Oreochromis niloticus: one gene and its partners. The protein of the gene in region 3 binds, or shares a complex with, the protein of the main gene of each other region. Links are inferred from orthologs where the notes say so. Each region holds a gene or a part of one and is shown on either strand. Other genes may lie near its edges.

Evidence for each region. Proteins that work in one complex are often made in the same cells at the same time.
Region 1: polr3c (region 3) and polr3d share a complex: the UniProt entries of both Homo sapiens proteins name them as parts of the RNA polymerase III complex. The link is inferred for Oreochromis niloticus from reciprocal best matches to the Homo sapiens genes POLR3C and POLR3D.
Region 2: polr3c (region 3) and polr3k share a complex: the UniProt entries of both Homo sapiens proteins name them as parts of the RNA polymerase III complex. The link is inferred for Oreochromis niloticus from reciprocal best matches to the Homo sapiens genes POLR3C and POLR3K.

Annotation. Positions count from the first base shown.
Region 1 is NC_031977.2:13,081,661-13,085,414, forward strand, and holds the start of polr3d (DNA-directed RNA polymerase III subunit RPC4), read left to right. Parts: upstream 1-1,600; 5' UTR 1,601-1,753; intron 1,754-2,748; 5' UTR 2,749-2,749; coding exon 2,750-2,911; intron 2,912-3,050; coding exon 3,051-3,094; intron 3,095-3,175; coding exon 3,176-3,330; intron 3,331-3,424; coding exon 3,425-3,549; intron 3,550-3,754. UniProt on the Homo sapiens protein: DNA-dependent RNA polymerase catalyzes the transcription of DNA into RNA using the four ribonucleoside triphosphates as substrates.
Region 2 is NC_031969.2:24,519,679-24,523,432, forward strand, and holds the start of polr3k (DNA-directed RNA polymerase III subunit RPC10), read right to left. Parts: upstream 2,163-3,754; 5' UTR 2,013-2,162; coding exon 1,902-2,012; intron 1,817-1,901; coding exon 1,729-1,816; intron 1-1,728. Other genes in the region: snrnp25 (U11/U12 small nuclear ribonucleoprotein 25 kDa protein), read left to right, coding at 2,371-2,604. UniProt on the Homo sapiens protein: Core component of RNA polymerase III (Pol III) which synthesizes small non-coding RNAs using the four ribonucleoside triphosphates as substrates. Can mediate Pol I proofreading of the nascent RNA transcript.
Region 3 is NC_031976.2:21,380,199-21,383,952, reverse strand, and holds the start of polr3c (DNA-directed RNA polymerase III subunit RPC3), read right to left. Parts: upstream 2,345-3,754; 5' UTR 2,206-2,344; intron 151-2,205; coding exon 4-150; intron 1-3. Other genes in the region: rnf115a (E3 ubiquitin-protein ligase RNF115), read left to right, coding at 2,358-2,510. UniProt on the Homo sapiens protein: DNA-dependent RNA polymerase catalyzes the transcription of DNA into RNA using the four ribonucleoside triphosphates as substrates.

The sequences.
Region 1 (3,754 bases), on a different chromosome or scaffold from region 3:
GCGTGTAGAGAAAGCAGAATTTGGCCCCATGTTATGGTGTTCAGAATGTCTCTTATATTTCAATTATGCTTACAAATTGGCATATTTGAGTTGTGTTTTTAAAACAAATATTGTAAATTTATTCTAGTCTCATTCAAGTATTTGCCGAGAGGTCCTTCCCTTATCAAAGGGACCAGGCACTGTTCGACCGGGGGTACCAAAAATCTGTGGCACCCCTAGGAGGAATATACTATTACTACATTTACATAAGCGGATGCTCCCAGAATAATGTATTACACACATGTTCAGTCCACATACTGGGAGAATCTGTGTCCACCAAATTATGAACAAACTCCATAAAAAGTTTTATTAGCAACTTGGCATTTTCTCTGAATAGATGGATTATTCTCAGCACATAATAATACTAAGTGCAATTCTCTTTTTTCTGTCAACATAGTATTTTATTCTATTGCATATAGTATCTTATTCTTATTATCTTATCCTATTCCAGTGTTTTTCTTAATTTTTGCTACTGTAACTTTGCACTGTCGACTTTCTGCTGTGACACAACAAATTGCCCATGTGTGGGGCTAATAAAGCTTATCTTATCTTGTCTTATCTTATCTTATCTTATCTTATCTTATCTTACCTTATCTTACTTCTTCAGCCCTTCACTTGTCCAGTTTGCTCAATTTTTTTAAGGACACCATGTTAAGATATGCCAGATATGACCTTATACTTCTTTGGGAACCACTTTGCTGACTCCCAGTAATAGTATTTTATGTTTGTCAAACTGTGTTGCGTTTGGCATATTTTGTAGATTCAACAAAAGAAACAGGAACTAGTAACAAAGTACCTAAAGACACAATTTAAAATTTCATGCCAAATGAAACACGATTATTTGCTAACTGGTCTGTTATGTGTATACACAACAGTGGTTCAAGTGTTGTGGCTACAAATAACAGACAAACCGAAATGAAAATGAACCAGAAAGCAGCAGATCTCCAAAGAAAAGCTTTGAATCACCTTCAGAAAGCCCAGGGAACTGTTGCTCAAGACTACTTAAAAATTAGCAGAAAGTCTGACTTCTTGGAAACAAAATATAAAGAAATGAGGGGTGTGTCAAGACTTTTGCATGGACCAAATACCAAATTTTCAATTTGGTATAATTAGTTTGTCCTTTCCTGCTTCGTATTTCTCTCATCCTTCTCTGCATCTTCTATATTATACATTCTATATTATGTATTTACACAATTACAGGTCAGGAGAACCTTTTCACACCCTGCTGCCTAAAATGAAGTTCAATTAACTAGAACAGTATTATATTATGAGATTATTAAGGGATCCTAATAAATTTCAAAGTGTAATATAGTGATTAAGCTGTGTTTGACCTACTCACATCTGCGCATTGAAGCGAACAACGGCCTCTTCCGTTTACTTATGATTATGAGCATCGGTGAGTAGCTACTGCTGTGTTGCATAACAAAGCATATTTATATGTCGGTAAAATAACATTTTTCACATACATACATAAGTCGATCTAAATGTATTAATGTATGCCGGTCTATTGAGTTTCGTGGTGAACATGCGCATGTTTCTGCGCAGGTTTGATCCAAGTGAACTGAGTGGACGGTGACAAATGCGGAAGTGTCATGGCGCCGTGCTGCAGAATCATCAACACTGTCATGCAGTGTCCCACACAGCACTGGTAGAAACTGTAATGACTCTGGGGTTTTGGATTAATATTTCATAAGGACGTCAGAGGGACAATAACGTAAGTAGGCGAGAAAGCACAGCCTGTTAAAAGTTCATCCTGAGAGTTAAAACAAAGTGTCCTGTGTCGTTGTATTTCACTGGAATGTGGCCACGTGTTGCTGAGGTTGTCTTGTAAAATCATTTCTAAAAATAAAAATGTGTCTGCAGGATCTCTGTTTATAGTGATACAATAACTTGTCAGTAATTTATGTCACAGTGTTATAAGCGCTACTTTAGTAAAAACAAAAAAGTAGAAGCTCAGATTTACATTTTTGTCTGTGTTCAGATTAAAAGATAATGTATATTACAACGAAATTAATAAGTAAATACTACATGAATCAATCATGTCAACAGTATGTTCTGCGGTCTTATAGAGCAGGATGTGGTAGTAGAGTAAGAAATACTTAATATGTGTCTATATTCACCCTTTAAAATCTGAAGTCATATTTAAACATATAATACTATATAATATAAACATTTAATACTTTTTAACATTAAGTTTTTAATTAAAAAAATTTAAGAAAATTCTATTTCAGCTTTCATGCTGCATTGGGCCAATGGGGCAAGCTGTACCATTAAATAAAATCAGTAGCTAGTTTAATTCAAATACAGCAAAACTGTGGAGATTCTCACATGTCCTGTCCTTTAATCATAACAGAGAGAATAATTTAGTTAAATATATCTATATGTATCATTTTCAAGACCTATTCTACTTACCATTTCCAGTCTTCGTGGAAGTAGAGTTTAAAATGTGCTAAGAGGCATAAGTACCAATGTAAAAATGTTCATACATAAATAATCAATAGGCAGTAGCAGTAAGTAGCCTTGCAAGGCCAATTTGGCCATGTCTACATACTGTGATTGGTAGTCTGATACAGGACTGTAACCCTTGGCAATCGGCATGCTGACTGTTGAAATGTGTGTTATGTATAAATATGAGAATGTTATAAGAAACAATGTTAGTATTTGTAATATCCATCCCTTGGTCGATCCCCTGCTTTTGCCCCAATTCAGGATGTCGGACGCAGGTTCAGGCGACCCCAGTGGTCGTGTGCCGACTCCTGGAGGGAGCGGTAGCAAAGGACTCCTGATGAGCCGTCGCCCGTCAGCTGGCATCTCTCCTGGCCGCCTCCCCACGATGCGATCCAGAGACCTCACATTAGGAGGAGTGAAGAAGGTCTGATATGTCTCTGTTTCACTAACTCACTCGCTTCATTTAACAACAACAACAACAAAAAAAGCGCAAATGGAAACTTTAAATGAATACATTTGTTATCTCATCTCTTGCATTTATCGTTCTTCTTTTTACTCTTTAGAAAACATTTACACCCAACATTATTGGCCGAAAAGTTAAAGAAGAGTAAGTTCCCAAAGCGCTAAATAAATAAAGTACAGACATCCAAAGCCAGCTGTTTCTTTGACTGTTATTTTCTCACACTAGAACAAAAGTTGAAGATGGGCAGAGGAGAGAGAGGAAGGAAACGGATCGAGGTCGGGGTCCCAGAATGAGAGGCAGGGGCCGAGGCCATCAAGAACTCATCCAGTCGCACTCCATTTTTGAACAGGGACCCGGAGAGATGATGATGAAAAAGAGAGGTGGGAGACCCGGTGCTCCTTACGCATCGTTTACGTGTGTGTCTTACAGAGTCTCTATCGAACGAGCATAATTCTGTGTCACCCACACACACAGGCGGCTATGAAAGCGAGAGAGACGCTCCAAGCATGGGACCCTCGCCCATCATTAATATCAAAAAGGAAAAGCGAGAGACCGAGGAGGAGACCAAAGAGATCCTGCGCAAGCTGGAACGAGACAACGTGAGTCTCTTGGCTTTAACTCATCTTTGTTTGCGTAACTAAGTACGTACAATTTCATTTATATAGCACCTTTAGAATAAGACCTAAGGGACTTGCTGGGGTCATATAGCTGTAAAATGTTCACTGATGTAACCTGGTTCTAGTCCATGATGAGCTCTAAACGTCAGAACGACAATCTTGAAATGGGCTTTGAGTTGAGTGGGGA
Region 2 (3,754 bases), on a different chromosome or scaffold from region 3:
TGTGATTGATGTAGAATAATATCCTGAATCATAAATACCAGTGGTGCTGACACAACTTTACGAGGCTAAGCTTTTCATGACTGAGGGCCTATACAGGGAGCCAGCATACAGCTGTGGACCAGCTGCAAAATTCATACACCCCCCCTCCCCCAAATCCAGTCACCAATTTATTAAACATTAATTGGCCAGAAAGCTTCACCAGCAGCTCAGGAGAACCTGCAAGAGAGGTTGTTGTTTACCTGTCCTACCCTGAAGGGGGTGCAGTCCGGCAATGTAATGATGCAAAGACACACCTTTTCTCACACTTTTAACAACCCCACATTCATTTCAGCTCTTCCATCCCTGGTATCCATTATAATAGACTAAACCTTCCTAAATTAACAAAGACAGCAGCGGTCAAGAAGTATAAAAGCCACCTCACTAATGATTAAAACAAACAAGCCAACACAAAAATGCCATATAAATTACCATCCTCAGAAAAGACAAACACTGTAATTAAAAGTTTGTATAAAATGCATTTTTATTCAGTAGAGGTCTCTAGCATATGCTGGCTCCCTAAAATGTGACTCAGTCATCATACCATTGACAAACTCCACCTGGTTATCAGAAATTAGAAAAAATATCTAGTTCCAGAGAATTGATGGAGAAGACTTTCACATTGATGTCATCAAGGGCGGACCAAGACATCCTATTCTCTGTAATAGGTCTCCAAGCTGGATAGTTCAAAAGCTACAGCTGTCTTTCATTTAAAGAGCTTTAATCTATCTGTAGAGTTAGGTTTTTATTGGGCGGGGATATTGCAATACCCCAATTTGTTTTTCAGCCATTCTGTTGTAATTTGGTGGTGTGCTTGGGGTCATTGTGCTGTTGAATGATGCAATTTTAACCATCTGTCAGATAGACAGCCTCACATTTAACTCTAGAATATTTATATACAGAGGAGTTTGTGTTTAACACAGTGACAACATTGTGCCCAAACGTTAAGGTAGCAGCAGCTGGCAGGGACTCACCCTCTTAATTAAGAATGTATTTTGTTTTTCACAGTATTGCACATGAAAACTCTGTTTTTCACATGACTGTTAACTTGAGCTACACATTTGACAATCCATATTGACAGTGTTAATAGATATTTACCCTAAAATAACGAAAAACTGAAGGACCCAGCTCAAGTAGTTTTCTAAATAATTACATTTTTAAATGGCACAACAAAATACATCCCTACTGTCATCCATGGGAATACTTGGATGCTAACAACAGTCCAGAAGTGCATCTTTCCCCTCAGTGTTTTAAAGGAAAATCTGTCCATGGTCAGGTGGAAAGTTTTTGTTTCAATCTGATAAAGTGAGTTGATCCAAACACACGCTTGCTCACACAAATCACGGATAAGTGGAAGAAGATGGCTGGCTGGATGACTTTGTTTTAAAAAGTTCTTCTTTTAAAGAGTTTAATTTTGACATGAAAGTGTGTGTTTAGAGTTTTGACCCCACAATACTTGTTGTCAGCAATCACATTGAGCTAACAAGCCTATATCCAGTTGTCAAAAACTGTATTACAAACCACTCAAAGGCACTGCAGACATTAATGTTTTGAGCAGGAGTGCAGGACGATAGACACAACTTCACTCTCAAACTAATTAAAAAAAAAAATCCAATATTTCTTCAGCCAGTTAATTTTGCGATTATAAACAGATGGATAGACCACACCATGAACTATTTTAATGGCACTCACCAGGTGTTGAGTCCACGTTTTCCCACGCAGCAGCTCCACCCAGAACATCATCCACCTCCTTTAACTTCGGATACTTCCTGTTATTTACCTACAGGGGTTTAAACAGATAACGTGAGGCTCTCAGAAGCCACGCTAACCTTAATGTAAGATGTGAGTATTTCGTCGTTACTTACCTTTCGTGTGATGTTATGTACGTAGGGACAGGTGTTACACGCGAATCTCATGCACTTCTGCCCTTCCTCGACGATTAACACGTTCCCGCAGGTTGGACAGAACAGAAGCATGTTATCACGCACTTAAAAAACAAAACCCTGTTAGTTTTTGAACTATTAAACAACACTAGCACTCTGTGGACTCAGCTGTAAACACTGCTGCGTGTGGAGCACCGGAAGAGAAGGAGAGAAAATGAGATGCACCCACATTGAGAGTTCGGTGAGAAACAAGGGATCATTAAGCGGAACCATGTTTTCTGAGCCCCATTTCCTCGCCCGGTTATTATTTGTGACGGACGCACTTACTTCCACAGGCTTCCAGTTAAATTAGTTTCCATTAAAAAGTATATTTTCCCCTAAGTTATAAATTAAGTCGATAAACTGCCTGTTAAGCTGCTTGCCTACTGAGTAAATTTAGCAGCTGGCGGTGATGGAGGAGGAGCAGAGAGCGTGTACCGCTGCTGCTGCTGGAGCTGCAGAAGGAGGAGGACAATCGGTGAAGGATGAAGAAGAGGTAAAAGAGGAAGATGTGACAGATACGGCAGCTCAAGGCGGAGAGGAGGAAGATGAGGACGCTCTTCCTCATTCAGAAATCTTGGATATTTTCGAGGAAGGACTTGCTCGACTCGTGCAGGATCCTTTGCTCTGTGACCTGCCGATTCAGGTGCTCCGTCCACTACATGAACATGCACATGTGCATTGCATACATACAGACAAGAGAGTTGCATTTATGGTCAGACGAGAGATCACCTCATATAATGACTTCTTACAATGCCTTTGGTATATTTGTATACACTCCCGGTCACTCTTAGTATCCTGATCCATCACATCATAAAGGTGCTATGTTGGATTGAAATCTGGTGTCTGTGAATTCATTGTCGTGTTAAAGGAACCAGCTTGAGATGTTTTGAGCTTTGTGACATGCTGTTATCTTGCTGGAAGCAACCTTCAGATGATGGCTACATGTGGTCATAAAGAGTTGGACATAGCAGTCAGCAATAGTAGTGGGGTAGGCTGTTAGTTTTAATTGACTTTCGGCTGGTACTAAAGATTCCAAAGTGTGCAAAGAAAATATCCTCACAAAGTTAACCCAGCAGCAGCAGAAATCAAGACACATCAGACCAGGCAACATTTTCCTAATCTACTATTATTCAGTTTTAGTGAGTATGTGAATTTTAGCCTTCCTGGTTTTAGGTGACAGGAGTGTCGCCCCCAGTGTGGTCTTCTGCTGTTGTAGGATGCCTGCTTCAGTGTTTGATGTGTTGCACGTTCAAAGATGCTCTTCTGATACCTTGTTTATAACAAGCGGTTATTGGAGTTACTGAAGCATTCTGGCTATTCTCCTATGACCTCTGGACTGACGCTCGCTGGATATTTTCTCTTTTTCTCTGTAAACCCTGGAGATAGTTGTGTGGTAAAATCCAAGTAGATCAGCACTTTCTGAAATACTCAGACCAGCCTACATGATATGCCACTTTAAAAGTAACTTTTCTTCATCGTTTTGATTCTTGGTTTGATCTTCAGCGTGACATCGTGACCATGCCTAAATGCACTGAGTTGCTACCGTGGCTGTTTAAATATCTGTAGAAGTTGAAAAGGCTTGTCTTCCAAATTTTCCAGTGAGTGTATAAAGACGCTAGTGTCTGGTTTTGTCTGATTGGTGTTTCAATCTTAAACACGCATGCTTAACTAGCAAAAATGCCGTAACAACCTGATGTTCAACACTGTATGTATAATTTAATCAGTCCAAACTGTGGAGATGGATTTGACTCAAGTTATCTGTAAATTATTTGCATGCTGTTTAGTCTCTAAAA
Region 3 (3,754 bases):
TACCAAGTCCACTGAGAGGCCAGTTTCATGAATGATTGTTCTTAAATTTTGTGCTCCACTTTTGAGCAGGTGTGTTCCCACTTTCTCAACCACCTCTCCAAAGTGCTCCTGCAGCAAAAGACCACACAGGCGCACTTCTTGGGCTGTCATCTGCACAAACAAAAGAACAGGAACACACAGGTGATGAAAGGTCTAAAATCTAGGATAGCTGTAAGTAACTATTTATAGCAGTACAAAAACAGTATTCCAGTATTCCTCTATATTCCTTTAATATAGTGTCATTTTTCTTAACACCTGGATGTAATAAAGCTCAAATTAGAATCATGTCAGGATACAAGAGATCTGTAATTTAAGGTTAAATAAGTTGCGCCTACAAAAACTAAACTCTTATCTCTGTAAAGACTAACACATTTCTACAGAGAAGTAAATGCTTTTTATGCAATGTGTGAAATATATTTTTATTATGACGGAGGTGGACTGCTGTTGCTATGTGCAAATCACTGGTTGCTATGTGTTCATATATGAAGATGTACAAAAAAACCATCAATAATAATTTGTGTTCCCTTACAAGAAGGTGCAAACAATTTATGGTTTCTATCTACAAGCACACAAGGGAATATATTTCAAAAGGGGAGAATTAAAAAAGGAATGCTAAAATAAGCAATGTAGGATGTGTCTCTAACAATGGACTTCTCACACACTTGAATCACGTGCATCACTTTTTTTTTAACTCCTTCTATACTACCTTCAGACTCAGAGACTCTGAAGCACAACTGAAACTGAAAAACCTTTTCTAACAACAAAAACAACAAAAAAATGATTAAGAATCAACAAAGACTTGGATCTATAAGCAAAGTCTGTGTCACTGCCATCAGCAAATTCGTACCATACTCATCCCTAGCACAGCTAGACAACCCTGGGTTGAGCCTATCCCAACTGTTCCAGCACCATGCAACCCTGAATTGGATAAGTGGTTTAAAGAAGTAGATGGACGGACTGTACAACACGTTTCTCCAGAATGTCACTACTTCATTCAGTACTTTATTGCTTTTATTTTTTTAGTTTTATTTGAATTTTTTAATTTAACTTATTTTAGTTTTAGTGTATATATGTTGATGATTTACTTACTTTCTTTCCAAACTCCCATCAATAATCTAACTCAGCCTTTGTAACAATAGTTACCTCTGTACATCTCTCACACTCAATAGTACCACCATCCTTGCTCACACCCAGGTTACGTCCTCCATCAACATCTTTAACTCCCTTCTCAAATCCATCCAGAACTTCCATTTGTTTCATCATGCCAGTACTTCAGAGGTTTCACTGGCTCACAGTTAAATGTCCTATTGATTACATAACACCACTCTGCAGTATCCCTCTGAACTTCTGCACATCAACACACTCATCCAAAATCCCAGATTTTCTCCTGGTCTCCATCTCATCGCCCTTTTCACCTGTTTGACTACCATGAGGCCTAGAGGCTTCAGTTGCTCTGTTACTCTGTTACTCGCCTCTGGACTTGCATCCCACCAGAAATCCATAACACTGACTCTCTCCATTTTCAAATCTCGTCTCAAAACTGGCATATTCACTCTGTCTTCCACCTATCATATTAAACCTGATTTAACATAATGTATATTCTTTTATTAACTTGATCGATATTTTCTTATTTTTATAGTTTTTCAAGTCTTCGGCGTAAAATAACCTTGAATGTTTTGAAAAGCGCCTAAAATCAAACGTATTACTGTTATTATTACTGTCTGTCTCTCCACACCTCCCTACTGATTTGTCACAACAAGAGCAGGCACACACAATGAACACAAAACAATGACTGTTTTATTTTTCACATTATGTCCAGATATTTCGATAGTAACCACATTATTTTTTGGTCGCAATAAAATAGTTACAATCTGACAACAGAACTGGCATTATTTAGGCTAAAAGTTGTACTGCACATTACTAAAGAGAAACAACAACTTTCCACTTAGATTTAAGCGACTGCAAACCTCACTTATATTTAAAGGATTGTTACTGAATTTCTAAGCACATGTGTAAATGGCATACTGTGCAGAAGCTTCTTTGTCGAGCACAGAAAAGATAGTTTTGTCTAACTCCAAGTTAACCCTGTGAGCTGTGCATGCTAAGCTAACTAAAAAGCTAACATTTACAGCTGACCATCTGAGTTCTTTAACACTTTAAACAAACCTTTTCAGTTGAGAAGTTTCTGAACACACACTGCTTTTATTCACCATCACCTGCAGTAAACACTTCACGTGCGACTTCTCGATGTCAACACACGAACACGTTTCCTTCCGCTCCTCGGTGAGCTGGGACTCCGGCCAGCGGCGCCGCGGTGCATGCTGGGCTGGAGGTGGACGGCTGCCTTCGGTTTGTGGAGGACCGACGTCAGTGTTTGTGCTGCTCTGGGGAAGATGGCGGAGGCTGCGGCTGTTCCCCCGCATCGGTTTTTCTGTCACTGTTGTAAAGGGGAAGTAAACCCCAAACTCCCGGTAAGCAGGAGGCTTTTCTTGTTTATCTGTCAGACTCTTTTAGAATACGTCCGGCTGACAGCTCTGCCTCGCCGCTAACGGCCATTTGTTCCGCTTGCTTTCTCGCTACAGCTAAAAACCAGCTAGCCTGTTAGCAGTTAGCGGCGTCTGCTGTTGTTAACTCACTAAAATAAACTCCAGCTACGAGCCCCGTCAAAGGAAAGGGGTGGAAAAAAACTGACATTAAAAGCAAATATCGACAGGTTTTGTTAGACTTTTCTAGACGTTTCTGTCAAAGCAGTGTACTCGAAGCTCTGCTTTGACAGTTCGGGGGATGTTGTGTTTTTCCTCAAAACAACAAGGACTTGTCGAAAACATTTGCGTTACTGCTGCCTTTGTTCAGTGCTTCAGACTTAACTTTAGTTGCCTGACAGCTGGTTAGTTTTTAATTTCCGATAAAAACGCAGTGTTGACAGGACGAGTTGGGGGATTTTTGGAAACATAGTTAAACATGTCGTATTCAGTTTCAGTTTTGAAGTTAAAAGTAGAAGCTAAACTCTGGACGCAGAGCTGACCCAAATCGTGACATACTTACTAACTTTAATTGGTTTTAAACATGTTATCCACGTCTTAAATATTATGGGGTGTGTTTGTATTCGTTTGTTACAAGTTTATAAAATACACCAACCTAAAATTAACCTACTCCAATACAAGCTTATGGTCAGCTGTAGCTTTCTCACAGTTCTCAGTGGCACTGTTTATTACTGTGGTGTTTTGTTGTGTTTTGTAGCTGAAATCTCAGACGACCCCCCCCCCAAAAAAAAACAATTGCTGGTTTTCATAGTCCTTTATGAAAGTATTTTTTGTTTGGACAAAAACAATGTGAAGACATTTTGAGGAATCTTATACTGACAACGGACAAATTCTGCCCTGTTTAAAAATTTTTTTTACAATATTCACAATGAACTGTTCACTGGTTTTATATCACCACTAGAGTCACATTAATCTTTTATTTTTATGATCCAGCTGAGGGTAGTTCCAGTCCTCCTTGTCATTGACTCTAAAGTGTCCCAGGCACAGTCAGTCCTATGGCATGTCTTCACTGAGCCAAGTGACTGCAACACCTAAGATTGTCGACCTGTGCTACTACAGTACAGCCCAGACACCGGTCCTCAGTCATCTGTCCGTTTTATACAACAAACTGGATAATCTGTGAGGTTGTCCAATTTGACACTAAACTGATACAACCTGTTTTGCTCACGGCA